Linked DNA regions of Macaca mulatta. The protein of the gene in region 3 purifies or fractionates together with the protein of the main gene of each other region. This does not show direct contact. Links are inferred from orthologs where the notes say so. Each region holds a gene or a part of one and is shown on either strand. Other genes may lie near its edges. The genes, in order: MRGBP, MORF4L1, H2AZ1, CHD4, ANP32E, EPC2 and BRD8.

The links.
Region 1: the proteins of H2AZ1 (region 3) and MRGBP purify together in Homo sapiens (affinity purification with mass spectrometry; 4 studies listed by BioGRID and IntAct, with this or other methods). This does not show direct contact. The link is inferred for Macaca mulatta from reciprocal best matches to the Homo sapiens genes H2AZ1 and MRGBP.
Region 2: the proteins of H2AZ1 (region 3) and MORF4L1 purify together in Homo sapiens (affinity purification with mass spectrometry; 4 studies listed by BioGRID and IntAct, with this or other methods). This does not show direct contact. The link is inferred for Macaca mulatta from reciprocal best matches to the Homo sapiens genes H2AZ1 and MORF4L1.
Region 4: the proteins of H2AZ1 (region 3) and CHD4 purify together in Homo sapiens (affinity purification with mass spectrometry; 3 studies listed by BioGRID and IntAct, with this or other methods). This does not show direct contact. The link is inferred for Macaca mulatta from reciprocal best matches to the Homo sapiens genes H2AZ1 and CHD4.
Region 5: the proteins of H2AZ1 (region 3) and ANP32E purify together in Homo sapiens (affinity purification with mass spectrometry; 4 studies listed by BioGRID and IntAct, with this or other methods). This does not show direct contact. The link is inferred for Macaca mulatta from reciprocal best matches to the Homo sapiens genes H2AZ1 and ANP32E.
Region 6: the proteins of H2AZ1 (region 3) and EPC2 purify together in Homo sapiens (affinity purification with mass spectrometry; 3 studies listed by BioGRID and IntAct, with this or other methods). This does not show direct contact. The link is inferred for Macaca mulatta from reciprocal best matches to the Homo sapiens genes H2AZ1 and EPC2.
Region 7: the proteins of H2AZ1 (region 3) and BRD8 purify together in Homo sapiens (affinity purification with mass spectrometry; 4 studies listed by BioGRID and IntAct, with this or other methods). This does not show direct contact. The link is inferred for Macaca mulatta from reciprocal best matches to the Homo sapiens genes H2AZ1 and BRD8.

Annotation. Positions count from the first base shown.
Region 1 is NC_133415.1:115,606,747-115,610,813, reverse strand, and holds the start of MRGBP (MRG/MORF4L-binding protein), read right to left. Parts: upstream 2,801-4,067; 5' UTR 2,729-2,800; coding exon 2,581-2,728; intron 2,137-2,580; coding exon 2,015-2,136; intron 1-2,014.
Region 2 is NC_133412.1:57,080,683-57,084,897, reverse strand, and holds the start of MORF4L1 (mortality factor 4-like protein 1), read right to left. Parts: upstream 2,801-4,215; 5' UTR 2,721-2,800; coding exon 2,681-2,720; exon of another isoform or gene 2,611-2,680; intron 2,529-2,610; exon of another isoform or gene 2,336-2,528; coding exon of another isoform or gene 2,044-2,335; intron 1-2,043. UniProt on the Homo sapiens protein: Component of the NuA4 histone acetyltransferase (HAT) complex which is involved in transcriptional activation of select genes principally by acetylation of nucleosomal histones H4 and H2A.
Region 3 is NC_133410.1:109,266,998-109,270,877, forward strand, and holds H2AZ1 (H2A histone family, member Z), read right to left. Parts: upstream 2,642-3,880; 5' UTR 2,586-2,641; coding exon 2,583-2,585; intron 2,153-2,582; coding exon 2,075-2,152; intron 1,797-2,074; coding exon 1,683-1,796; intron 1,350-1,682; coding exon 1,220-1,349; intron 940-1,219; coding exon 878-939; 3' UTR 501-877; downstream 1-500. UniProt on the Homo sapiens protein: Variant histone H2A which replaces conventional H2A in a subset of nucleosomes. Nucleosomes wrap and compact DNA into chromatin, limiting DNA accessibility to the cellular machineries which require DNA as a template.
Region 4 is NC_133416.1:7,529,682-7,533,181, forward strand, and holds part of CHD4 (chromodomain-helicase-DNA-binding protein 4), read right to left. Parts: coding exon 3,456-3,500; intron 3,417-3,455; exon of another isoform or gene 3,280-3,416; intron 3,195-3,279; coding exon 3,097-3,194; intron 2,979-3,096; coding exon 2,843-2,978; intron 1,309-2,842; exon of another isoform or gene 1,061-1,308; coding exon 989-1,060; exon of another isoform or gene 713-988; intron 707-712; coding exon 569-706; intron 483-568; exon of another isoform or gene 435-482; intron 293-434; coding exon 184-292; intron 80-183; coding exon 1-79. UniProt on the Homo sapiens protein: ATP-dependent chromatin-remodeling factor that binds and distorts nucleosomal DNA. Acts as a component of the histone deacetylase NuRD complex which participates in the remodeling of chromatin.
Region 5 is NC_133406.1:116,909,796-116,913,295, reverse strand, and holds part of ANP32E (acidic leucine-rich nuclear phosphoprotein 32 family member E), read right to left. Parts: intron 2,286-3,500; coding exon 2,120-2,285; intron 1-2,119. UniProt on the Homo sapiens protein: Histone chaperone that specifically mediates the genome-wide removal of histone H2A.Z/H2AZ1 from the nucleosome: removes H2A.Z/H2AZ1 from its normal sites of deposition, especially from enhancer and insulator regions.
Region 6 is NC_133417.1:53,767,105-53,770,604, reverse strand, and holds part of EPC2 (enhancer of polycomb homolog 2), read right to left. Parts: intron 3,185-3,500; coding exon 3,039-3,184; intron 2,910-3,038; coding exon 2,566-2,909; intron 1-2,565. UniProt on the Homo sapiens protein: May play a role in transcription or DNA repair.
Region 7 is NC_133411.1:147,033,002-147,037,007, forward strand, and holds the start of BRD8 (bromodomain-containing protein 8), read right to left. Parts: upstream 2,801-4,006; 5' UTR 2,759-2,800; coding exon 2,740-2,758; intron 1,816-2,739; coding exon 1,719-1,815; intron 1-1,718. Other genes in the region: kinesin-like protein KIF20A, read left to right, coding at 3,821-3,985. UniProt on the Homo sapiens protein: May act as a coactivator during transcriptional activation by hormone-activated nuclear receptors (NR). Isoform 2 stimulates transcriptional activation by AR/DHTR, ESR1/NR3A1, RXRA/NR2B1 and THRB/ERBA2.

The DNA.
Region 1 (4,067 bases), on a different chromosome or scaffold from region 3:
GCCTACGGTCTCACCAAGAGACTGCACACCTGTGGGTCCTGCCTGCCCACCACGACCTACGGTCTCACCAAGAGACTGCACACCTGTGGGTCCTGCCTGCCCACCACGACCTACGGTCTCACCAAGAGACTGCACACCTGTGGGTCCTGCCTGCCCACCACGACCTATGGTCTCACCAAGAGACTGCGTTCCCTAAGGCGGTGTGCAGAGGGCACGGTGACAGCCCTGGGGAAAGGCCGCAGGCACCTCGAGTTCTCATCCACATGGCAGGAACCCATGGACACTGAGGGTGTCAGTTGGGAGCGCCACAGGCACAGAACCAGGCAAGGAAGAAGAGCAGATGGAGCAGGGCCACCCGAGTGCTTGCCAGGCACTGCCCTCCTGAGGTCACACAGACCAGAGGGAGAGACCGGGAGCCAGGGAAAAGTGGAGCTGGCGGGAAGGGCCCTGGACTGGGAGGCGATTCAGGAGACAGGGGCTTCTACTCGGCAGTTTGGGTGCTGTATGGAACAGGCAGTCAGGCCACATTTGTGCTCCTCAAAATCTCCTGGGCCAGCTGGTCAGCCTCTCGGGGGTACTCCAGGGGCTCTGTATTTCATAAGGTCTGAAAGACTCAGATCTCAGTCACACAGAAGTGTCATGGTCCAGAGAAAGTGCCAGCCTGTGGTCTTGCCCAGTCCTTACTGATGTCATAGGCCACTGCAGGAATAAGGAACAGGGCCACAGTCCTAGGGCTGAAAGGCCTGGCGGTCCCACATGGCTTCCTGAGTGTCATGTGGGCTGCTGTGCTCATCTGAGCCAGCACCCATGCCCCAGGGGACATTATGGGCCTTGGAGCTGTTTGTCTTCCCCAGAGACAGGCATAGATTTACACCGATCTCTCCAAATCCCGGTGTGGGAGGTGTCTGGGGACCTAGCGCCCTCTCCCACAACCAAGAAGCTGCTGGGAGTTTGGTGACAGGGGGCCTCTGACCCTGAGGGGTGGTGACCAGAGTTCAATGGCTGATGGATACGCTCTAGGGAGGAGCGGGTCCAGGGAGGACCTTGTGAGCTTAGTAGCCAGCTGTGTCTGGGCCACTAGGTACTGGTCACCCAGTGCAAATGCCGCACTGGCTCAGAACGTCCTCAACACACGAGGCGGCAGCAACAGGGGCTTAAGCTTCCAGGGCATTTCTAGGGCTGAGCATCCTTCCTCTCCTCAGACAGCCAGGCCCCTGCACGGCTGGCATCTCTGTCCCCTTTCTACAGCTATGACAAGGAGACCCACATCACTCCACCAATGTCAACGGCAAGCATTCCTTGCCTCAGTGGTGCCCCTATGTCTTCCTGGAAGGGCTGGTGTGGCCCTGAGTCCAGCGTGGCTGGCACAGACTCTCCTTCCACCAGCACAGGTCCCCACTCCTCCTGGTCACCTGACCCCTGACCCCCACCCCATTCTCCAAGCACACCACCTTCTTTCAACTCCTGGACCCACCACCTCCTGCTGCCACAGAGCCTGCAACACCCACCTGTCTCTTGTGGCCAGCCTGCTTACCTAGCTAACGCGCTCGCCCGTCACACACTGCCAGCTCCAAGCTCTGTGAGGACTGGGACTCTATTTGCCTGACTCCCACAGAAGCCACCAAATTCACCTTGGTGTGACTCAGATAGGGTCACCCTCTGCCTAAAGCACTTCTGGGGCATCCCGGGAGGCTGACAAGGGCCTAAGGGCCTGGGGACTCTGCATCCTTCCCTCCCTCCCCAGGGTCTCAGCTGGAGGCTCTGGCCCAGCACCCAGTCTAAAGCAGGCCCCCTGAAAAGCTGGCCAGCTGCTAGCATTGTGTTTGTGCTTTCCATGACAGGCTCTGGAGCCCTGGGATGCCCTCCTTAAGGATGGGTCTCACTGCAGGGGGCTCTGCCCAGCAGACCCCAGCAGGCATGGAGGGGCCTCTGCTCTGCCCAGCTCAGGCTGACCCTCAGCGGTGTGTGGGTTCGTGCCCCCATCGGGCAGCACAGGGAGGGTGGTTGGGCTCACCAGTGCCTGCATGTCGTACATGGTGCTCAGGTGGTCCCAGATGACCTTGGATGGGACCTGCCGCCCGATGTTCTGGCTGAACTTGTCCCGGATACAAATCATGTGGAAGTGTCGGTTCACACCTGGGGGGAGGAGGGGCGGCGGGACAACCGGTCAGAGGGGAGGAGAAGGAGAAAGGGGATGGAGGGGACAGGGTGCCCTGGGGACTGGAGGGGCAAGGGTGGCCGCGGTGGGATGGGGTGGGCCAGGGTGCGGAGGGGCTGTCGGGGGGCAGGGCTGGGTGGTGTGTGTGGGAGGGGGTGGGGCGTCCCGGGGCAGAGGTGGGGGTGGGGCGCTGCGGGCTGGGGCCTCGCGGTGTCACGGGGGTAGGGGCCGGGGGCGGGGTCCGGGGCGGGGTCCGAAGGGCGCGTGGGAGGGGGCGGGGGTCCCGGGACGGGTGTGGCGGGGGTGTCACGGCCCGGGCTCGGCGGGGCGCGTGGGGGCGCGGGTGTCGCGAGCGCAGGCCCCGCCCCGCCCCGCCGGTTGCCCGCCCCGCCCCCACGCGCGTCCGCGGCCTGGGCGCTCACCGACGGGCTTGTGGCCCAGCATGGCGTGGAAGAGGCACACCTCCACCTCGGGGCTCCACACCACTGTCTCCTCCGCCGGGCTGGTGGCCGCCTCCCCTGGGCCCTTGTCGCCTGCGGCGCCCCCGCCGCCCACCTCGGCCTCTCCCATGGCCGCGGCCCGGCCGAGCAAGGAGCCCCCGGCGGGAGCAGGCGCGGCCACGAGCTCCGCGCAGGCGCACTCGGGGGCGGGCGCGCGCTCCGCCAGGCACGAGCTCGGGCTCACGCGCCGGCGTCGGCGCAGGCGCAGCCGAGGCCTCGGGTTCCTTCCCGCCGGGGACTCCGCCCTGCTCCGCCCCGTGCGGGGGTGCTTAAAACGTGTTCCTCTTTAAAGCACAGTAAGTGTTCTAACACTTCACCCAAACAACAACAGAAAACTTTTTTGCTTCAAAGAAAACCATCAGCAAAGTGAAAAGACGACCCACAGATTGGGAGAAAGTATTTGCAAATCCTGTATCTGATAAGGAACTTCCTTGCAGAAGGTATAAATATAACTCTATAATAAAAAGACAGTCTAACTATAAAACGGCAAAGGATTTGGATACACATTTTTCCAAAGAAGATGTACAGATGGGCCGGGCGCGGTGGCTCACGCCTGTAATCCCAGCACTTTGGGAGGCCGAGGCGGGAGGATCATCTGAGGTCAGGAATTCGAGACCAGCCTGGCCAACATGGCATAATCCCGTCTCTACTAAAAATACAAAAAAATTAGCCGGCCGTGGTGGCGGGCGCCTGTAATCCCCGTTACTTCGAGAGGCTGAGGCAGGAGAATCGCTTGAACCCGAGAGGCGGAGGTTGCAGTGAGCGGAGATCGCGCCATTGCAATCCAGCTTGGGCAACAAGAGAGAAACTCCGACTCGGGAAAAAGAAAAAAAAAGATGTATAGATGGCCAATGAACACCATCGGTCACGCGAAACGCGAACCAGCCCGCGTGGGGACCCCCTTCCCCGCCGAGACCGCCGCAACTACGCGGCCGGGGTGGCGAGTACTGCGAGGATCCGGACTCGGGACCCTCGTGCGGTCGTGCTGTGGGGCCAGATGGAGTCGCTGCTGCGAAAGACAGAACGGCCGTTCCTTCAACGATGGAACCGTCTCCCTAGGAGGCAGCAGCTCCGTGGCGGGCGCCCGCAACGGTGGAACAAGACACAGGTTCAGGCTGGGATCCGCAGCCGCAAGGCTAGCGCCGCCCCCAACCGGGGCTGAACCGGCTAGGGGCGCACGGAGCGCGGGCACCCGCACGGCGCAGCCGCGTTCAGCCTAAAAGCCGCGAGCGCGGACTGCGGCAGCGTGGGTGCGGGCTGAGACGAAAGTCAGAGAATTCAGACACCAAAATACGCAGCATGGGAATCCATTCACAGGAAGAGCCAGAACTGGCAACTCCATAGAAATAGAAAGTAGACGCACAGTTGCCGGGGACGGGGGAGGGGGAGGGAAACGCGAGTCACTGCGG
Region 2 (4,215 bases), on a different chromosome or scaffold from region 3:
GAGGCAGGAGAATGGCATAAACCCGGGAGGCGGAGCTTGCAGTGAGCTGAGATCCGGCCACTGCACTCCAGCCTGGGCGACAGAGCGAGACTCCGTCTCAAAAAAAAAAAAAAAAAGGCACAAGGAATTCTCTGCTGCTATTCCCCTCTTAACTAGCAACCCTCTAGAACTAAAGCGCTTCCTTAAACAGCCAACCTTAGGCTGTTCCTACAGAAGCGATTAACTTTTTGTGCCTTGACAGTCTGATACAGCCTACGAGCCGAATGATTTCATAAATACATAAAACACACAGTAGTACAAAGGCAACCGACTGTATCGAAACACCAAAACATTTTAAATGTCACGTTCTATGACATTACAGGACAAAGACTTGGCTAGTCATCCAGCAACTACCCTAATTTTGAAGAAACGAGAATGATTGATAACTGAAAACATCTTCCACAACTGTAATGCTGAGATCTGAAAATACTAATGCGGCGTTTTTTTTCGGGGTTTGGGGGGAGGAATTACACTGTTAACTGAAAACTAAACTTGGGTACACAGAAAAAACACATCTTCCTCATTCAATTTCACGGACCCTCTGAATGCACTAAGAATATCTGCTCTAAAACGTCTAGTAAAATAATGAATCCATAGGAGGTAGAGTCACAGATTCTCAAGGTGGGAGAAGGGTATTAAAAGTCACACGGCTGAGCGCGATAGCTCACGCCCGTAATCCTCCCACTTTGGGAGGCCAAGGCGGGTGGATCGCTTGAGCCCAAGACTTCAAGACCAGCCTGGGCATCATGAAACTCCGTCCCTACCAAAAATACAAAAAAAAAAAAAAAAAAAAAAAAAAACCCACAAAGAAAGAAAAAACCCCTAAAAACAAAACAGAACAAAACTCAGCCGGGCATGACGGCGCGCGTCAGTGATCCGAGCTACTTGGGAGGCTCGCTTTAGCCCGGGGGGCAGAGGTGAGCCGAGTACCATAACTGCCCTCCAGCCTAGGTGACAGAGTGAGACATTGTCTCAAAAATATAAACAGGCCGGGCGCGGTGGCTCAAGCCTGTAATCCCAGCACTTTGGGAGGCCGAGACGGGTGGATCACGAGGTCAGGAGATCGAGACCATCCTGGCTAACATGGTGAAACCCCGTCTCTACTAAAAATACAAAAAACTAGCCGGGCGAGGTGGCGGGCGCCTGTAGTCCCAGCTACTTGGGAGGCTGAGGCAGGAGAATGGCGTAAACCCGGGAGGCGGAGCTTGCAGTGAGCTGAGATCTGGCCACTGCACTCCAGCCAGGGCGACAGAGCGAGACTCCGTCTCAAAAAAAAAAAAAAAAAAAAAAAAAAAAATATATATATATATATATATATAAAAAAACAAAAAAGTCACTCGTTAACAAAATACCCCTAAAACTCCCTTAAATATCCCATAAGATACGCAGTACTACGGTTTAAGATTTATGTCTCTAAAAGGAATTTTAATGCAAGTCTAAAAATCCCTAGAACAAAAATAGTACGCATGGAAACACCGTATTTACGGTAACTAGCATAAATTTCCATAGCAATGAAAACGAATATTAGAGTGTTCCTCCTTTTACAGGATTTTACTTCCTTTTTAGCTATTAGACCTCCACCTTATTATACATAAATTGAAGCGTTGTGAAAATTTAAAGAGCTGCCTTCCACTGGCAGTCTAACCCTAGCCAAACCTCATGCCAATCGAAAACCAATTAATAAAAATAAACTCAACTTTCAAGTCACTGTTAAACACTGCAACTAATCAAACAATTACTGCATTTAAAAAATGACGTCGAGACAATGGGACTTACAAAGGCAAACGGCGTTAACACTGCATTCAGATCATTTTTATTTACTTTTTACGAGCAACTGCAAAGCGAGAGCGCACTAACGTTACCATAGGATCTTGGCACTGCGCCTAAGAGCAGAATGAGGCCTCCAGGCAACACAAAGCGGAGGAAAACGCTCATCCCACTGATCCTTTTTTTTTTTTTCTGTCCCCACCCACCACTCTGAGGTAAGCGAAGGGTCCCGGCAACCTTGCGGTCTTCGTGGAAGGGGGCGCTGCATCTGCCCTGAAGCTGCGCCTGCATACGGGGCAGAGACGCCAGCGGCCATGATGAAGCCGCCATGTTGCAACGGCCATTTTACAACGCAGTTCTCCCGCCCCGTGGCGCCAAACCCACCCCCATCTGCAGCTCCGAGTCTCCACCGAACGCGACCACCCCGGGGCTCCAGGGAGCACCTAACCGCCGGTCGTGGCTGCCCAAGCGGCCGGGCGCGCTGCAGGACAGCCAGAAACCACCGCCGCCCCTCCCCCCGCCGCCACATCACTTCCCCTAACCGCCGCCATGGCGCCTTGGTCGCCTCCCTACAATAGGCTGCTCTCTCCGCGCCCTCTTCCTCAGAACAATAACAAACACTTGACGAGGGTGTGCCACGCGCCAAACGCTCCCTCTCCCACTCTAACGCCTGCGTAGCACTCTCGCTTCACAAAGCGCTCACAATGACGCATCGGAATTGCCATCCGCAATGCGCTTTCCCCGCACAAAGCACTATCCGCCGCCTTCTCAGGGTGCACCCCGAGCCACCCCCGGCCCTCAAACCTCAACCACCTCGAGCCCGCCTCCATCTCCTGCGCCGTTAGGTGCCTTTTTCCCAAAGGCGCACACTCACCCTCCTGGAATTTAGGCTTCGGGTCCTGCTTCGGCGCCATTTATAAGTGATTCGCCGCCTCCTCCTTCTCCCACCACCCCCGACTACCGCCCCCTACTCTCTACCCCACCCAACTCCGCGTCAGACGCGCCGTCAGGCACTGCCAGCTCTACATCCTGGGCCGGATTTGCCAGCGCCCGCAGACCTCACAGCAGCGCGACCCGCGCAGCCGCTGCTCCAGCCAATGACAACCCGCCGCGCCCGCGCCCCTGCGCCCGCGCCGCCCCGGGGCACGCCGGGACTGGTAGTTTCTAGTTGGTGGAGGCGCAGCTGGGTGGGGGAGGGGCCGGCTACCCTACCCCACTCCTCCCCACCCCCCCGCCACTCCCCATCCCCCGGGCTGCTGCGGGTTGGTAAAGCGGGGAATTGATTACGTGGGAGGTTAAAGCAGAGCGGGCAATGGGGGAGAGTCGGGGCGGTGAACCACCAGCGATGAAAAAATGGGAAAAACCCAGTTGCGACGTCCTTTGGGCAAATAAGCCCCCATTGATGTTGAAGTAGCCGGAGAGAATAGGGCTGCCTCGAAAACCTATATTCAATAGCATTCCGCTAGTTTTTGCATAGAAAAGCTTTAGGATCAGCAATGTGGCCACAAGAGGATGGGAAGTGGGGTCCGCTTCTGGAAGCTTCGTTGTTTAGCAAGCCCACTGCCTAGTCTATTTGGTGGGATTGATAGCCATTTGTTGGCTCCCAGGTCTACCTCCTCTTCTCCAGTCCCGGCCTTGCGGAAATGAGGAAGATGACGTGGGAAACACTAGTCAGGCTTTGGCTTTTTGAGATAATGGAGCTCTGCTATCCGCAAAAGGCTAGTGTGAATATGCCAACCTCTGCATTCCGTACCTGCCCTGTTTGTACTTTTTTGTCATCTAATTTTTTGAGCCATGATTGAATGTACACACACTAAACAAACGGATTTCTTCAATATTATATATTTTTCTTTTCTTTTCTTTCTTTTTTTTTTTTTTTTTTTTTTGGAGATGGAGTCTCGCTCTGTCGCCCAGGCTGGAGTGCAGTGGCCTGATCTCGGCTCACTGCAGCCTTCACCTCCCAGGTTCAAGCGATTCTCCTGCCTCAGCCTCCGGAGTAGCTGGGATTACAGGCACGTGCCACCACGCCCAGCTAATTTTTGTATTTTTAGTAGATACCGGGTTTCACCATGTTGTCAGGCTGATCTGGAACTCCTGACGTCGTGATCCGCCCGGCTTGGCCTCGGAAAGTGCTGGGATTACAGGAGCAAGCCACCGTGCCCAGCCTGCCTCCATGGCTTTTCTAAGCCCTCCCCTGCCCGGGTTCCACACCCTACCATTTCCGGGCCCCTCTCCATTTTTCTGACTTCCATTTCTCCTTCAGTCTTTTTAACACAACCCCTTCTTCGACAACAGAAACCCACAAAAATCTTCGTTATTCCAGTTGAATATACACCATCTTGTCACGGCTGCTACTTGCAAGCTTGTCCAACCTGCCTTATTTTCCTGTTGTTTTGTTTTGTTTTGTTT
Region 3 (3,880 bases):
AAGCTGTTAATTCCAACTACCACCAGAACTCGGTACTTTCAAATAAGAAAGCCTGCTTCTCTTCAATAAAATGGAGATAGTATATCCCCAATGATGTTACTGAGCACTTAACAATTTCAATTTCAGACTTCAAAGCAGGGCCTAGCACGTAGCACTATTAGCTTCAGAGTTTAAATTCGGAGTTCATTATGTGGATATACAGGACATTCCTACCTATTCTCTCCCTCCCCAAGTCCACCACACTAACAGCATACTAGTGCAGTGCTGTCACACAGCAAGCAAAGTCAATGCACAAACTGAAATGCTCCCACTCCAGCTCCTGACAACTTTTTAAATTAAAACTTTAGTAGCTTATTATATAACATTAAAAATATATACTTGGTCTATCTCACTTTGTTGATCTAGATTTGACAGGTCAGTCACAAAGAAATGTGCTTAGTTATTGCTGCTAGATATTCAAAACAAATTCATATTACAATCAAGCCAATTTAATACACAACTAGTTTGGGATATGACCTTTATTGAGCTTATCCACCAGAGTGGAAATAATGTCTGTACAAAACCAAATGTTTGTTACTATAACTTCTGCATCACAATTAAAATCCAAACAGTTTTTTAAAAACAGTCAACTCAATCAAAACCCACTACTTCAGAATCAATAGCTTCTTTGAAGCCACAGTAACACTTAAATATGGTTAAGACTCGAATGCAGAAATTTGGTTGGTTGGAAAGCTAATTAAACTTCCAACTTGCTCAAATAGAATTACAAAAAGGCAAAATTGTGTTTTTCACAGAGATACAGTCCACTGGAATCACCAACACTGGACAGCTGTTAGAGTATTTAGAGTCCTGAGATAACAAGGAATCCAGGCATCCTTTAGACAGTCTTCTGTTGTCCTTTCTTCCCAATCAGAGATTTGTGGATGTGTGGAATGACACCTAGGAGAGTGACAGGAATTAATTCTACTTAAGATTTTTTTTTTAAAATCACAGTATTTGAAACCAAAAAAAGTATACTGTTCAAGTATCTTTAAAAACGTGCAGCTCAAGTATGAAGTAAAAATTCAGTTATACATATGAATCAAATTTCATGATAAAACCATACTTGCATCAATGAAAATATACTTAAATTTTCTCTTCTAGAAAAACTAATGAAATTAAAGCAGCAAAGAATTCCTTCCTCTGAAGAAATTTTTAAAAATTTTAGAAGTTAACATACCACCACCAGCAATTGTAGCCTTGATGAGCGAATCCAATTCTTCATCTCCACGAATAGCAAGTTGCAAGTGACGAGGGGTAATACGCTTTACCTTTAAGTCTTTTGATGCATTTCCTGCCAGTTCAAGTACCTAGAAGGCAGAATCTAATCAGTTCCCTTCCAACTTTCCTTTGGCCAAGATTCAGAGAACAGAATAAAACCCTCACAAACGCTTATCTACCAACTGGAGTCGTTCCCCACTATCTGACTGGCAAGATATACAGGGGGCACGCAATTTTAATTCCAAGAGCAGAGAACTCAAGCTCAGTAGGATCCTTGTTGAACAGCAGCTCCCTCTAGCGTTCTCTTAGGCCTCTCGCCGCGTTCAGGGCCTGTGAGTTTTCTTGCATCACTTTCCTCCTTCCCTCTTGCCGTCTCCCCGCCCCCCAAACCTTCTCCGGATTATAGGCGTTCACCCATTTACCTCTGCGGTGAGGTACTCCAGGATGGCTGCGCTGTACACAGCGGCAGTCGCGCCCACACGTCCATGACTGGTCGTCCTAGATTTCAGGTGTCGATGAATACGGCCCACTGGGAACTTAAATTTTAAGCATACACAAACATAAATGCACAAAAATAGGAGAACTAGAGATGGGGAAATTATATGCGCGCCAAAGCAAGTGGCACGGGCGCAGCAACGCGTCCCGACATCGAAACACGTGATTCCTCCCCCCCATATTTATCGTATGGGCAGCCCAAGTCGCGACACCGCATCACCCACGCATAGACGAAACGCCCATGGAGAGCGGTGAATAACAAAAAAGGAGATGCAAAGAAAAACATCACGACTCCCAGACCGCACGAACAACTACTGACCTGCAAGCCGGCTCTCTGCGAGCGGGAAACCGCCTTTGTCTTGGCCTTTCCGGAGTCCTTTCCAGCCTTACCGCCAGCCTGCGGCGCGCACACGCCCGCGAGCGGAGGAGGAACGGAGAATATAGAATTACCAAGGCGGCGCGCCCATCCCCCACCGCGGCGCGTCCCGCCGCGAGCGCGTCCCCGCACCCCGCCGGGGTCTCTGGCCCGCGGCGCGCCGCAGGGGCGACCCCGCCCGTCCGCCCCCCGCCGCGCGCTCGCCGCGGCCGCGCGCCTCCGCCCGCCCGCCGGCCCCCAGCGGCGCTGCGCGCGCCACCCAACCGTCGCCGCCCGCCGCGAGATCCGAGGCTGCTCCGCTAGCAGCCGACAAAACACCTCCCCCCGCTCTTCTTAATCCTGTCTCCGCGCGTTCCCAACCGTCGCCACTTCACCCCCATCCCCCGTGTAACGGGTTTTTCTCCCGCCGGCAAAAACCCGCGAAGTCATCGAGCGTCTCTGCGAAGTTTACCATTTCGAATTCTGCTGAAGCTCAAGCAAGCAAGGCAGAGAAAAGGCTAATCGGACCCACGGTGAGATCCCACCACCTACTCCTTCGTCGCACCGCGATTCAAACTGCGCTGTCTCCCGCCTTCCCTGCTCCCTTTATACTGCAGAATGTTCCCTCATCCGGGAACTCGGATTGCTCATCCCACCAATGGCTGCCACCCGCCCTCGGGACGCGTCCTTGAGACTTCAGCCAATGAGCAAGCAAAGAAAAGGGTGGAGGGGCGGGCGCTTCTAAGCTCAAGCCGCGATTGGGACGTGAGGAGCGAAGCGGGGGAGGGCGGAGGGATGGGAACGGGGGAGAAGAAGGGCACCGCGGCGGGAGGGAAGAAACAGAGCAAGCTACTCTGCGGGAGCGCAGTTACCAGCCAGCTGCGGTCACGTGCCGGGGAGGAGGAGCTGAGACCTCAGGGGAGGGGCGCGCGGTAGCGCCCCGGGTCCCCTAGCAGGGCTTTGGAGACCACGTGAAGTCTCGTCCGTATCTAGCACGCAGCCCCCACCGCTCCCAACCCCACCCCCAGCGCCTCTCGGGCGGAGACCTGCGACCTGCAGCCGCCTTCCGGGGCCCCGGGCACCCTCTCCCGACCCTCTCAATCCCTGGCGGCTCTTCCAGTCTGACAGGTGGCGCGAACGCGTCCAGTGAGGGGAGGCTGAGGTTTGCCCTGACGCCTTCCTCAGCCTTAGTAGAGATTCCGTGTTTCTTCCCTCTAGGCGAATCCCCAGTCACCAACAACAGATCAGGACGGGTTGCTCCCACTTTATTTTCAGCCGGGTCTTCCACCTCTCCCTCACTACTTATGAAATCCCCCACGGAATAGTTCTGTAACAGCAAACGGTGAAGCCAAGTCACCTCACTGGTCACGAAACCCTTTTTGTTTACACTTAAGGAGCTTCTGGCGAGGCAGTATTCTTAAATCATAAACCGTATTTTTTGGAGACTACACATCAATGAGTTGTACCTGTAGCCTGATGTGTAAAGCTCATTTAGTGAAACCTCAGAGCTATTATGTGTCAACTTTTCTACAATAAATATTTTGCCACATGACAAATGTTCGGCAAATGTCGACGGAGTAACTCTGACATGATTCACAGGCAGTTACAGAGGGTCGGTGCAATGCAATCAACTGCAAATGATGAGGTTAAAATAATGATACTGTACACACAGTACTATCCTTCCAACTAGTAGATTATTAACACCTACGTATATCTCCAGCTGCTTGGGGACAGTAGTGTCTCAATCTCATTTGTAGTGTTTTAGTGCAT
Region 4 (3,500 bases), on a different chromosome or scaffold from region 3:
CATTTCACCCTTGAAAGGCTCATTGAGGATGGCATAGCGTGGGTCATTCTGGATGTCTTGCCACCGGGCATAGCCATGGCTATTGGAAAAGTGCTCAGGAAAAACAAAACAAGAAAAGTAAAAACCTCAAACTAAGAGACCTTCAGAACCAAAAGCCTCAGTCCAGATTCAGGCAAAGGATACTTTATGATGCCGGCTAGCAGCCAGTAGTCATGCCGTCGATGCCAGATCTCGTAAGTCTTCTTGGTAACTGTGGCTGCCCGCTCTTCATTCTGCCAAAGGGAGTGCAACTCTGAGGAGGAATTTAGGGAAGGTGGGAGGGGGGGCGGGAAGCAAACATCTGTGAGAATTGAAAATGCTACTTATTCTTGTCCCCCACCATCCCCCATCCCTGGATCCATCTTTATATAATTTGCTTCTGGCTTTCTCCACAGAACCCAGGGGAGTACACTATCAGTTTGGCATTCCCTCATCGAACAGAGGTAAAGTCCCTGTACCACGGTTTCTGACAAGAACCCCAATTTCACATCCGATCCTTCTAACCCTGGTGGGCCCCTCATTTCCATACCAGTAAAACCACCATCTGCAATGTTGAACATGAAACGCTGTTTAATATTTTTCTTCTGTTTCTCATCATTCAGGTCCTTGGGGGTCTCTCCATTCTGAAGCATCACCTCTTTTTTCTCTTCTTCTTCTTTCTTCTCTTCTACAGAATATAAGGAAGAAAAATGTCGGTTCCAGCCAAAGCCCAGCACCCATCGCCCTTACCCAGAACACTGTATGCTACAAGAATCCATCCACCTCCACCCCTTCTCCACCTGGGTGTCTCTCAGACCCAGAAAATGGTGCCATTGGCCCACTGGGGACAGGTGCAGTCTTTTGGGATAAAATGGCTAGATGAGTATGGACAGGGAGGCAGGGCAGATACAGTCCTTGCTTCCGGTTTTAGAGTTCTTCTAAACCACAATCAACTTCTCCAAACACCCACCTTTGTCTTCTACCACAATAGGGGTCAGATCTATTGCTGACTTTTCCTCCACCTTCTCTACATCAGCAGCACCTAGGGGAAGAAATGTTATTGAAAATATACCTAAAGGAAGAACATTCTCCTCTGTTACACACTATTATCCAACTGGATAGACCTACATCTAAATGTCTGCGATTACAGTAATGTCAGCTGGGCACAGTGGCTCATGCCTGTAATCCCAGCATTTTGGGAGACAGTAGCAGGCAGATCACTTGAGGTCAGGAGTTCAAGACCAGCATGGCCAACATGGGAAAACCCAATCTCTATTAAAAATACAAAAATTAGCCAGGTGTGGTGGCTCATGCCTGTAATCCCAGCACTTTGGGAGGCCAAGGTGGGTGGATCACCTGAGGTCAAGAGTTAGAAACCAGCCTGGCCAACATGGTGAAACCCCGTCTCTACTAAAAATACAAAAATTAGCCAGGCATGGTGGCTCACGCCTGTAATCCTAACACTTTGGGAGGCCGAGGTGGGTGGATCTCGAGGTCAGGAGTTTGTGACCAGCCTGGCCGACATGGTAAAACCCCGTCTCTACTAAAATACAAAAATTAGCCGGGCATGGTGGTGCGTGCTGTAATCCCAGCTACTCAGGAGGCTGAGGCAGGAGAATTGTTTGAACCCAGGAGGTGGAGGTTGCAGTGAGGCGAGATCATACCACTGCACTGCACATCAGCCTGGGCGACAGAGCAAGACTCCACCTCAAAAAAAAAAAAAAAAAAAAAAAAGCCGGGCATGGTAACTACTCAGGAGACTGAGGCAGGAGAATCGCTTGAACCCAGGAGGTGGAGGTTGCAGTGAGCCAATATCATGCCACTGCACTCCTGCCTGGGCGACAGAGTGAGACACCATCTCAATAAATAAATAAATAAATAAATGATTAGCTGGGCATGGTTGTGGCATGCCTGTAATCCCAGTTACTCGGAGGCTGAGGCAGGAGAACCGCTTGAACCCGGGAGGCGCAAGTTGCAGTGAGCAGAGATTGTGCCACTGCACTCCCGCCTGGGTGACAGAGTGAGACTCCATCTCAAAAAAAAAAAATAAAAAATAATAAAGTCATAAGAGATAGGAAAACCTGCCACCTAAAATCAAGGGTGCAGGATTCTTCAGTGTATCGCTTCCTCCTGATATCTCTACAGCCCCAGTGAAAATTCATGAGTGACCATGGTTCACACAGGGATCTGTAGTGCCTAAAAATATGGACACCAGCCAGGCACAGTAGCTCACGCCTATAATCCCAGCACTTTGAGAGGGCAAGGCAGGTGGATCACCTGAGGTCAGGAGTTCGAGACCAGCCTGACCAATATGGAGAAACCCCCTCTATTAAAAAATACAAAATTAGCTAGGCATGGTGGCACATGCCTGTAATCCCAGCTACTCAGGAGGTTGAGGCAGGAGAATCGCTTGAACTCAGGAGGCAGAGGTTGCAGTGAGCCGAGATCGCGCCATTACACTTCAGCTTGGGCAACAAGAGTGAAACTCCTTTTTTTAAAAAAAAAAAAGAAAAAAAGAAAAAAAAAGGCCAGGCACAGTGGCTCATGCCTGTAATCCTAACAATTTGGGAGGCCAAGGCGGGTGGATCACAAGGCCAGGAGATTGAGACCAGCCTGGCCAACATGGTGAAACCCTGTCTCTACTAAAAACACAAAAATTAGCTGGGCATGATGGCATATGCCTGTAATCCCAGCTACTCGGGAAGCTGAGGCAGGAGAATCGCTTGAACCTGGGAGGTGGAGGTTGCAGTAAGCCAAGATGGCACCACAGCACGCCAGCCTGGCAAGAGTGCGAGACTGTCTCAAAAAAAAAAAACGTGGATACCTTTACCTTTGGGCTCTGTCTCCATAGGTTCCTCTGTTCTCTCCTTCACCTCTGCCTTTTCCACTTTCTCCTCTCCCTCAGGGGGTTCAGCAACGACCTTTTCATCCTCTGAGGCAGGGGCAGGGGGCTGTGTACACTTCAAAGGAAAAAAAAACAAAAACAAAACAGATGAAGCAGACAGGCCAGCAACTACAAGGAAGACTGGACTTATACATTTGTTTTTAGTGTGGCATTCAGTCACCCCCATCTCTTACCTCAATGGCAGTCTCAGGGGCTACAGATTTAACCTCCTTTTCTCCTTCTATGCTCTCTTCTTCTTTGAGGCTATTTTCCTCTATTTTGATCCCATCTTCTGCAGAACAATAAGAGACAATCAATTAGGAAGAAGGTCCTACATCAGAGAGAAGGTCATTTCTTCCCAGTTTGTCTCATCTTAAACTGTCCTCTCGTGCCTTTAAGAGCCAGCCCCATTCTTAGGACGGCCCTCCTAAACTGAGAGGGAAATTACTGTGTGTCCTGCCAGACTACCCTGTTAGAACTGAGCACAGGGGAGCAGAAAAATAGGCCAGGACAAAAAGAGAGGGACAGAAAATGATAGGACAGGCAGACTTACCAGCAGGTGGGGCAGGTGCAGGAGTGTTGGGCTGCGTATCCCCTG
Region 5 (3,500 bases), on a different chromosome or scaffold from region 3:
ATTTCTGTTTTACAACATTCCTAGTTATTCCTACAAACCATATGCGAGAAGTATGGCTTCTAAATACTAGTATCCAACATATATATAGAGTCTCATGAAAACATTGCATGCACTAAAGTTTGTTTTACTTTGTGAATACTTCAAAACTTGCTTGTGAGATGCTGGAGAGGCTGCAGAGAAAAGGGAATGCTTATATACTGTTGGTGGGAATATAAATTAGTTCAGCCACATGAAAAGCAGTTTGGAAATTTCTCAAAGAACTAAAAATACAACTACCATTCAACCCAGCAATCCCATTACTGGGTATATACCCAAAGGAAAGTAAATCATTGTACCAAAAAGACACATGCATTTGTATGCTCACCACAGCACTATTCACAATACCAAAGACATGGAACCAACCTAGGTGCCCATCAATGGCGGACTGGATAAAGAAAATGTAGAACATACACATGATGGAATACTACACAGCCATAAAGAAAGAATGAAATAATGTCCTTTGCAGCAACATAGAGACAGCTGGGGGCCATCATCCTAAGTGAATTAATGCAGAAACAAAAAACTAAATACTGCATGTTCACACTTATAAGCAGGAGTTAAACACTGGGGACACAGGGACATAAAGATGGGAACAGACACTGGAAACTTCAAAAGAGGGGAAGGAGGGTGGCTGAAGAACTAACTATTAGGCACTATGTTCACTATTTGGGTGACAGGATGAGTAGAAGACCAAACCTCAGCATCATGCAATACACCCATGGAACAAACTTGCACACGTACCCCCTTAATCTAAAATTAAAAAAAAAAAAACCTGCTTATCTATCATTTCATCATTTTGTAACAGTGTTTATCCATCAAATTTCTTCTTACAATGAAGAAGTTTTCACTCAATAATAACAAGCAGTATCCCACTACTAACAGCATTCTGTCATCTGATCTGTCATCCACTTTTCTAAAACTGTATACTCACAATCTAATTCTAGAATATTTTTCTTCCCTCAAAAAGAAATTCCATACCCATATGCAGTCACTCTCCCATTTTCCTCTCTCCCAGCATCGAGCAACCAATAATCTACTTTCTGTCTCAATGGATTTGCCTATCCTGAAGTTTCTGCCTATTCTGAATCATATATATATAGTTTTTTGTTCGGTTTTTTGTTTTGTTTTTGAGACAGAGTCTAACTCTGTCGCCCAGGCTACAGTGCAGTGACACGATCTCAGCTCACTGTAACCTCTGCCTCCCAGGTTCCAGCAATTCTCCTGCCTTGGCTTCCCATGAACTTTCCATATAAATGAAGTCAATCAATACGTGGCCTTTTGTGTCTCTCTTCTTTCACTTAGAAGAACATTTTCAAGATTCATTCATGTAGCATGCATCAGTACTTCATTCATATTTATGGTGGAATAATATTGTACTGTATAGATAAATCACATTTTTAAAATCTGTTCATTGGGCCGGGGCCCGGTGGCTCACGCTGGCTTTAATCCCAGCACTTTGGGAGGCCGAGGTGGGTGGATCACGAGGTCAGCAGTTCGAGACCAGCCTGACCAACATGGGGAAACCCTGTCTCTACTAAAACTATAAAAAAATTAGCTGGGAGTGGTGGCGGGCGCCTGTAATCCCAGCGACTTGGGAGGTCCAGGCAGGATAATTGCTTGAAAACGGAAGGCGGAGGTTGCAGTGAGCAGATATTGCACCACTGCACTCTAGCCTGGGCAATAAGAGCAAAACTCTGTCTCAAAAAAAAAAAAAAAAAAATTCCATTCATCAGTTGATAGATACTTCGGTTGTTTCTACTTTTTGGCTATTACAAGTGGTTCTTTTTTTAAAAAAAAATACTATTTAAGACGTTGCCACTTTTACTGGGTGTACAACTTTCTACAGATATAAAATTTCACAGAGCTTCATGTTATAATAGTCATTAAATTCCCTGAAACTATAGGAAATATAAAAGAAGAAATACTGGCTAGAGCTACGGGTTTTTAATTTTTTCTTGTCTTACTAATATCTTCTTGTGGATTTTTTTTTTCAAACCTAAATTTCCAGGCCCAATCTAATTTGCACAGCTAGAGCAGAGGCTATAATAATGACACACTTATGAGTATTAAGAATGATTACCCTCATCATCCTCCTCTTCAGAGTCCGGTGCTTCATTATCCTCCTGATCAAATCCATCTAAGTATGTGATTTGCTGCAGCAGTTCAAAAATACTTTCTCTATAATCTTCCAGGTTTGTGATCTCACAGTTAAACAGGTCAAGACTTTTCAAATTTTTAAGATTTTGCTGGAAAAGTAAAGTTAAAACTTACATTCAAGATTTAAAATACCATGTTTTTTGTTTTGTTTTGTTTTTGTTTTTGAGACGGAGTCTAGCTCTGTTGCCAGCTGGAATTCAGTGCCGTGATCTCCGCTCACTGCAACCTCCGCCTCCCGGGTTCAAGCGATTCTCTTGCCTCAGCCTCCCGAGTAGCTGAGACTACAGGCGTGCACCACCATGCCCAGCTAATTTTTGTGTTTTTGTTTTGTTTTGTTTTTTTGAGACGGACTTTTTGCTCTTGTTGCCCAGGCTGGAGTGCAATGGCATGATCTTCAGCTAACCACAACCTCCACCTCCTGGGTTCAATTCTCCTGCCTCAGCCTCCCAAGTCGCTGGGATTACAGGCATGCGCCTCCACGCAGCTAATTTTGTATTTTTAGTAGAGACGGGGTTTCTCCACGTTGGTTGGGCTGGTCTCAAACTCCTGACCTCAGGTGATCTGCCCGCCTCGGCCTCCCAAAGTGCTAGGATTACAGGCGTGAGCCACCGCGCCCGGCCTAATTTTTGTATTTTTAGTAGGGATGAGGTTTTACCATGTTGGCCAGGATGGTCTCAATCTCCTGACCTCATGATCTGCCCACCTTGGCCTCCCAAAGTGCTGGGATTACAGGCGCGAGCCACCGTGCCCAACCACATCATTTCTTTTTAATTTATGATTCAGAAAATATACATTTGAAATTGAGAATGATTTTTGTATTTTTTGAGTTTTATAATGAAGGATTATTATATCAAGCACAGCCAGCTCACCTGGCTAATTTTTTTTAATTTTTTATTTTTGTAGAGACAGGGTCTCACTATGTTGCCCAGGTTGGTCTCAAACTCCTGGACTCAAGTGATCCTCCCACCTCTGCCTCCCAAAGTGCTGGGATTACAGACATAAACCACTGTGCCCAGTCTCCAATCTTTTTTCAAAATCAGAGCAATAATTTTCAGCATGTCACTTTTTCTTTTCTTTTTCTTTTTTTTTTTTTTAGACGGAGTTTCGCTCTTGTTGCCCAGGCTGGAGTGCAATGGTGCAATCTTGGCTCACCGCAACCTCCCCCTCCCGGGTTCAAGCGATTCTCCTGCCTCGTGTCACTTTTTCTTTTCCTTCCCTCATACCAGGAAAGGGGGCAAATAATAAAATGACTCAAAAAATAATCAAGAAGAAAGGAAAAAGAATAAAAGGTTAAAAAAAAAAAA
Region 6 (3,500 bases), on a different chromosome or scaffold from region 3:
CAAAAAACCTTGTGGTCCCAGTGACTAGAGGAGTCACAGTCAAGAAGAATGAGTTCAAACAAAATCTTTTACTCTAGGAATAAATTACTAAATAAGACAGATATGATTTCAAAACACTGAATTCTAATGTACCTTAGTTGTTGCTTAAGTCTTAAAATTTTTTAAGGAAAGAAATGGTACTGTGTTGAGGGTATTAAAAAATTTCAGATAGGAAAAATCACACAGACCAAGAAGATTATTTTTTTTCTAATGGTAATGTAAAGATAAAAATACAAAAAAATCTTGTTGTCTATGATGTTAACATAGCCAACTTGTGACTTAAATTCCCTGAGAAGTACATGCACGCCTAACGTAACAGTTTAAATGCTTATTTTATGTTGTATGGTAGTGTCATAGGATTATAGAGGTGATTATAATGGAACTATTTAAGTCGTATTAACTTATATTTTGGACCAATACATATGTTGTATTGATGATATAACAATATATACAGGCCGGGTGCAGTGGCTCAAGCCTGTAATCCTAGCACTTTGGGAGGCCGAGACGGGCGGATCACGAGGTCAGGAGATCGAGACCTGGCTAAAACGGTGAAACCCCATCTCTACTAAAAAATACAAAAAAAACTAGCCGGGCGAGGTGGCGGGCGCCTGCAGTCCCAGCTACTCGGGAGGCTGAGTCAGGAGAATGGCCTGAACCCGGGAGGCAGAGTTTGCAGTGAGCTGAGATCTGGCCACTGCACTCCAGCCTGGGTGGCAGAGCGAGACTCTGTCTCAAAAAAAAAAAAAAAAAAAAAAACCAAAAAAAACAATATATACAACACATATATACTTTCTGGAAAAAAGTCAAGTTAAATCTAGAGTTAATCTGGAATGTATAGTACGAAGCTGAAAATATCTGACAATGTTCACGCTGAGAAGGAAGACATTAAAATCACTTTTTAATGTGGTATACATCAGCAGAGAAAACAATCAGCCTACGGTCAAATGTAATTATAAATGCCTCTATATGGTGTGTTTTAAACTCTCTTTTTAAGAAAAATTATTTTGAGAATGTTTAGTACAGGAATTCCATTTAGCTAAATAAACTGGAACTTTGTCTTAGAGCTGGCTGAAAAAAGATCTGATTTAATACTTGTCAACTTTCTACTATCTTTAGATTTCTAATAATCCCGCAGCCTCAAATTGTATTACACATTTATCCATTTCAGCTTCAAGCACTCTTTCAACTTCACAGACTCATGAACTTTATATAATGGGAGGCCATTTTCCTTACTTAAGTTCGTTTAGGAGAAAATTAACCAACTAATTTGGATAAATGATATGCCAATTTCTAATCATTCAAACAAATCCAATATTTCATTATAACCTTTAAACAAATCACTGTACAAGTCAAGTTGGAAAAGAGGCAGTTCAGTAGCTAAAAGAGACTGAACATTATTGAGACCAATCAAGCTAAAGTGATTCATGATCACTGTAAGGAAGTTTAAATATGATAATTTCACATCCTAGAATGTATCATCCAGGAAGTAATTTAGAAATACAAAAAAAAAAAAAGGTATCAACAGTGTAAGTCTCTATGTTAGTCTTGGGATACAATGCATATATACAACGTATACATTATAAAGATATTTATAAATTATACATACTTGCATACATGTGATAAAACAGACCACAGAAGAAAACAAATCAAAATTGTACCTTAGATTCTCCAGATATTATACATTATTTACAATGTACATGTCATAAAAATATTACATTAATTTGAATACATCTCTTAAAAATGAAAAAACTTCCTGATCTAACTAGAGGTAAGCTATCGGACAAAAATTATTATTCATAGGGGCTTGGCACAATGGCTCATGCCTATAATCCTAGCACTTTGGGAGGCTGAGGCAGGTGGATCACCTGAGGTCAGGATTTCGAGACCAGCCCGGCCAACACGGCGAAACCCTGTCTCTACTAAAAATACAAAAATTAGCTGGGCATGGTGGTATGCTCCTGTAGTCCCAGCTATTTGGGAGGCTGAGACAGGAGAATCGCTTGAACCCAGGAGGCAGAGGTTGCAGTGAGCTGAGATCATGCCACTGCACTCCAGACTGGGTGATACAGCGAGACTCCATCTAAAAAAAAAAAAAAAAAAAAAAAAAAATTATTCACAGGGAGTCTCCTAAAAATCATTTTCCAGAAAGAGTTTTCAAAGGTACTCTCAAGGAGTAATGGTTACATTTAATCAAAGATTACGCACCAAAATGAAAATTACCTTTAACATAAGCAGTAGATAGTACTGCGCTGTGATTATCTGGTGGCAGCTTATAAGCAGTCTGCTTTGTAGGGAAGTCTGTATGCATTCTGCCTACATTTACCACACCAGGAATACACCCGAAATAGATGTCAGTGGTTTTACAGTACTAGTTAGGACAATTTGGTTAAAATGTGAGGCAGAACAGTACAATTTTGTTTCTTAGGTTGGGGAAAAAAATGCAGTAGGTTAAGATAAAATTCCTTTCCCAATAAAATTAAGTAAAAAAGAATAGCAGGATATACTTTTAACACAGCAACAGCTTACCTGATATGCCATTCTTGCTGGTGTTCAATAAAGCTACAGATGCTGCAGAAACTCTTTTATTGTTCACAGTCTGCCCTGGTTTTCTTGAGGTACATTCTTCACTATCACTGTCCTGTAAATTTAGTAGCCTTGGCTGGAAACACTGTAGTCGACATGATCTGATATTGCTTAATATTTCAGAAAGGGACAGTCTATTTTCACAATGTTTACTGGAAGCATTGGTCCGAGAGAAATTAGAAGAAAAGTCTATAGTTTGGGAAGAGCTTGAAAAACTATTCAGCATTTCAGGGTCTATCTGTTTTAGGACTGGGTCATGTTCTGTGGATATTCGGTCCATTATGACCCTGAAAAGCAAAATAAAACCAAACATTAACTAAGACAGCTGAACATTTTTTCTTTGTCTTCTGTTCCAGATAGCAAACAAAAACCAAAAACCAAAAAACAAATACCAAAAGTGAAAACAAATACTTCACCTTCCACCTCTGCCAATTCGCCTCCTTGCAAATCCTATACATCTTCTTGGGACTGTAAGTGTTGTAAGGCAATGCCTATACCTCAACTTATCCAAATCTGCCAGTTCTGAATTTTCACATGAATGGTTAGCTTGGTCCAAACGAGGCTGCAAAGAAAGAAAAAAAAAAAACCCAAAAAACTCATGGAGTAAATTTGAAATGAAGACAGGTTAGATCATGATAAACATGAAGTAACTGCAACATTAGCAGAACAATTAAAATCTAGACATAAAACTGTAAAAATCGGGCTTCACTGACTATTAATCAGGTTAAATTTTACAAAACTGAATCAAAAGTTCACTCACCAAGATTACCCAAACTGAATTTAGTTTCTAAAGATAAATTCACTTAGGGTCCATTATACTTAAAAAGGAATGTATCTTTTTAAAAAAAATGCAGCTTTTAACGTATGTGTACAAAGTA
Region 7 (4,006 bases), on a different chromosome or scaffold from region 3:
AAAAAAAAAAAGTCCAGCCTGGGCAACATGGCAAAACCCCATCCCTACCAAAAAATACAAAAATGAGCCGGGGATGATGGCATGTGCCTGTAGTCCCAGCTACTCAGGAGGCTGAGGCCGGAGAATCACTTGAGCCCAGGAGGCAGAGGTTGCAGTGAACCAAGATTGCACCACTGCACTCCAGCCTGGGTGACAGTGAGACCCTGTCTGCAAAAAAAAAAAAGCGAACATAATAGAGTTACTACATAACCCAGCAATTTCACTCCTTGAATAAAAAACTCAAGAGAATTAAAAACATTGTCCACAACCTTGTACACAAATGTGCGTATCATCAGCATTATTCATAATGGTCAAAAAGTGGAAACAACCCAATTGTCTATCAAGCGATGGATAAACAAAATTTGGTATATTCATATAACAGATTATTATTCAGCTAAAAAAGGAATTAAGTATTGATACCTGCTATATAAGAATGAACCTTAAAAGCGTTATGTCAGCCAGATGCGGTGGCTCACTCCTGTAATCCCAGCACTTTGGGAGGCCGAGGTGGGCTGATCACGAGGTCAGGAGATCAAGACCACCCTGGCTGACATGGTGAAAGCCCGTCTCTACTAAAAATAAAAAAAAATAGGCTGAGCGTGGTGGCGGGCGCCTGTAGTCCCAGATATTCGAGAGGCTAAGGCAGGAGAATGGCATGAACCCAGGAGGCGGAACTTGCAGTGAGCCAAGATTGCGCCACTGCACTCCAGCCTGGGCAACAAAGCAAGAGCCTCAAAAAATAAAAAATAAAAAAAATAAAAATAAAGAAAATGTTCTAAAATTAGATTGTGGTAATGGCTGCACAACTGTGAATATACTAAAAACCATTATATTGTACATCTTAAGTAAGTTAATTTTATAGTATGTGAATTATATCTCAATAAAGCTGTTTAAAAAAAAAAATACAGCTGGCCTGGTGGCTCACACCCGTAATCCCAGTAGGTTGGGAGGTTGAGGTGGGCAGATCGCTTGAACCCAGGAGTTCAAGACCAGCCTAGGAAACATGATGAAACCCCTATCTCTACAAAAAAATACAAAAAATTATCTGGGCATGGTGGTGTGCACCTGTAGTCCCAGCTACTAAAGAGGCTGAGGTGGGAGGATCACTTGAGCCTCAGACATGGAGGTTGCAGTGAGCCAAGATCACACCACTGCACTCCAGCCTGGGCCACAAAGTGCAACCCTGTCTCAAAAAAAAAAAAAAAGGCCGGCAGCAGTGGCTCACGCCTGTAATCCCAGCACTTTCGGAGGCCGAGGCGGGCAGATCATGAGGTCAGGTGATTGAGACCAGCGTGGCCAACATGGTGAAACCTTGTCTCTACTAAAAATACAAAATTAGCCAGGCATGGCCAGGCGCAGTGGCTTACGCCTGTAATCCTAGCACTTTGGGAGGCTGAGGCCAGTGGATCACCTGAGGTCAGGAGTTCGAGACCAGCCTGGCCAACATGGCGAAACTCTGTCTCTACTAAAAACTAAAAAAATTAGCTGGGCGTGGCTGCACCACTGCATTCCAGCCTGGGCGAGAGAAGGAGACTGTCTCAAAAAAAAAAAAAAAAAAAAAAGGGAAGAAGAAAAAGTCTACTTACAGCTTAATATGATTAACTACAGAAATCTATCAATGTGAAAGAGTATCTAACAATTTCTAAGACCCAGAAAAGCTGACATCCTAGATAGCTTACCAATTTTGATCTCCACTTCTCATGACAGAAGATGCTAAACACAGCTTCTCTCGGATGGACCATGGCTCTGTGGGGCCAGTACTCAGCAGCTTGTGTTCTGGGAAACGAAAAAAAAAAAAGCCTTGGAAGCAACCACTGAGACTGTAGTGCTAAGCTCCAAAATCCCCAAAAAGGGGACTAAAAGCCTAATACAAAATATTCCAACTTGTTAGGACAAAGTGAGCTACTATCACCAAATCTTGATTTTCACCTCTCCAAGTGAAGTATCACCAGTGACCGTGGTACCAATTTGTTGCATGTGAATTATTAACATTTTATTTCTTAAAACGCCACGGCTTGAAGCTCCGCTTTATTAAAAAATTGGGAATGTCAGATTAGGCAGTTCTCCCTAAAAGCCCAGTTTTAAGAACACTGGACTTTATTCCAGTTTGAACTCATTCAGGGCTTATTTCCCAGGAACCCGAGCGGCCAGCCCCTCCTACAACCCCGCCTCCCTCTTAGCATAAACTTGTTTACTTCTCTCAGATCCTCTACTCCAAATGTCGGGCCTAAAAGACCTTTTCAGTCCACTAAAAGAAAAATGGCTGAAATCCCCGAGATGCAATTTCCTGAGTGGCAAGAAAAGCTCATGGTTAAAAGGCCCCACTTCCACTGCCTCACAAACGTCGAACAAAAAATGAATGGCTCTTTGAGGTGCCGGTTACTCCGTCTGGCTCATAACATCTTTTCGTCTGCACGCCCAAGTTTCTAGAGTGCTTTTACGGTTACCCCGAAGGGCTCCTAACACACTAGGATTCACTAAGCTCCTTCTCTCACACCTCCGCTCCCTCCCTGAGAAACAAGACCCCAGATTTCTGGGCCCCCAAACGTTGGTCTTCACGATGCTGTGGAGCGCAGGTCTCTGAAAACCCTGAGCTCTCAAGCAAACCACTTCTCCCACTCCCTAAGCGTGTAACAAAAATATGGTGCCTAGCCTCGGATCTACAAACGCCTTTCACGCAAAACCTGCTCAGATACTCACTGCCCGTTCCCGTCGCCATCTTGGCCCCGAAGTCTCCAACCCTGAGGAGAGACGGTCTGGTAGGGCCGAAACCCTGGAATTCTGGGAAGTAGAGTACCGGCGTTGGTTCGCGGTGCCTCCTGGGAAATGTCGTTTTTTCCCCTAAGACAAAGCAAGCACCCTAAACCAGTTATCTTGTGCAATCCTTTTAAGATTTTTGCTAAGGAAGGACAGGGGTTGGCGGCTGAAGCCTCAAGATTTCCTTTAGGGTTCTTAGGTAAGAAATGTCTAAGGTTCAAGAAAAAGGGTTAAGCTGGAAGAATCCCAAGCGAAATAACTCCTAACCCGCGACAGTTGGTAACCCGGACCCACATTAGATCTGAGAGGTCAAGCGGATGCAAACTACTGGAATTCCAGTCGGACCCGCCCCTTTTCCTTACGCGGATTGGTAGCTGCAGACTTCCCTATCTCATTGGCCGAACGAACGCAGCGCGTAATTTAAAATATTGTATCGGTAACAAAGCTGCACCTCGTGGGCGGAGTTGTGCTCTCCGGCTGCGAAAGTCCAGGTTCGGCGACTAGGTGTGAGTGAGCCGGTACCCGAGGAGGAGCAAGTGGCACGTCTTCGGGTGAGTGTGCGGCTGTGCTGGAGCCCGGGTTACCAGCTCTTGCCCACGCGGAATAGGCTTTAAGAAATCGGAACTGCAGCCATCTGTTTTTCTCTTAATGCTGCATCTCTGTTCTCACGGTGGTCCTTGAGGTTAGAAAAGGAGCCGAGGGATCCTGACACCACCTCCACAGCACCGGCGGGCGAGGTGCCCTACTTTAGGCCTGGCCTTTTGCTTTTGGAGCCAGATTTCTGTGGACTTCTGTTCGCTTTCAGAAATGCAACCTCAAACTTCTCTCGATTGTTCATTAAGTGAACTTCTCTCATTCCCTTCCCCTTTGCCGATAATTAGAGGGGAAAGGAAGTAGGGAGCGGGACCCGGTGTCCTGGGGCAAGGGACTTATTACCTAAAATTCGCGGCCCCTTCTGTCCCTAAAGGTTCTTCTCCCTGCCCACTTTTTGGTCTCTTTTTAGACCTAGGCTGCCCCTGCCGTCATGTCGCAAGGGATCCTTTCTCCGCCAGCGGGCTTGCTGTCCGATGACGATGTCGTAGTCTCTCCCATGTTTGAGTCCACAGCTGCAGATTTGGGGTCTGTGGTACGCAAGAACCTGCTGTCAGACTGCTCTGTCATCTCTACCTCCCTAGAGGACAAGCAGCAGGTAAAGGAACTGGGGAGTGGC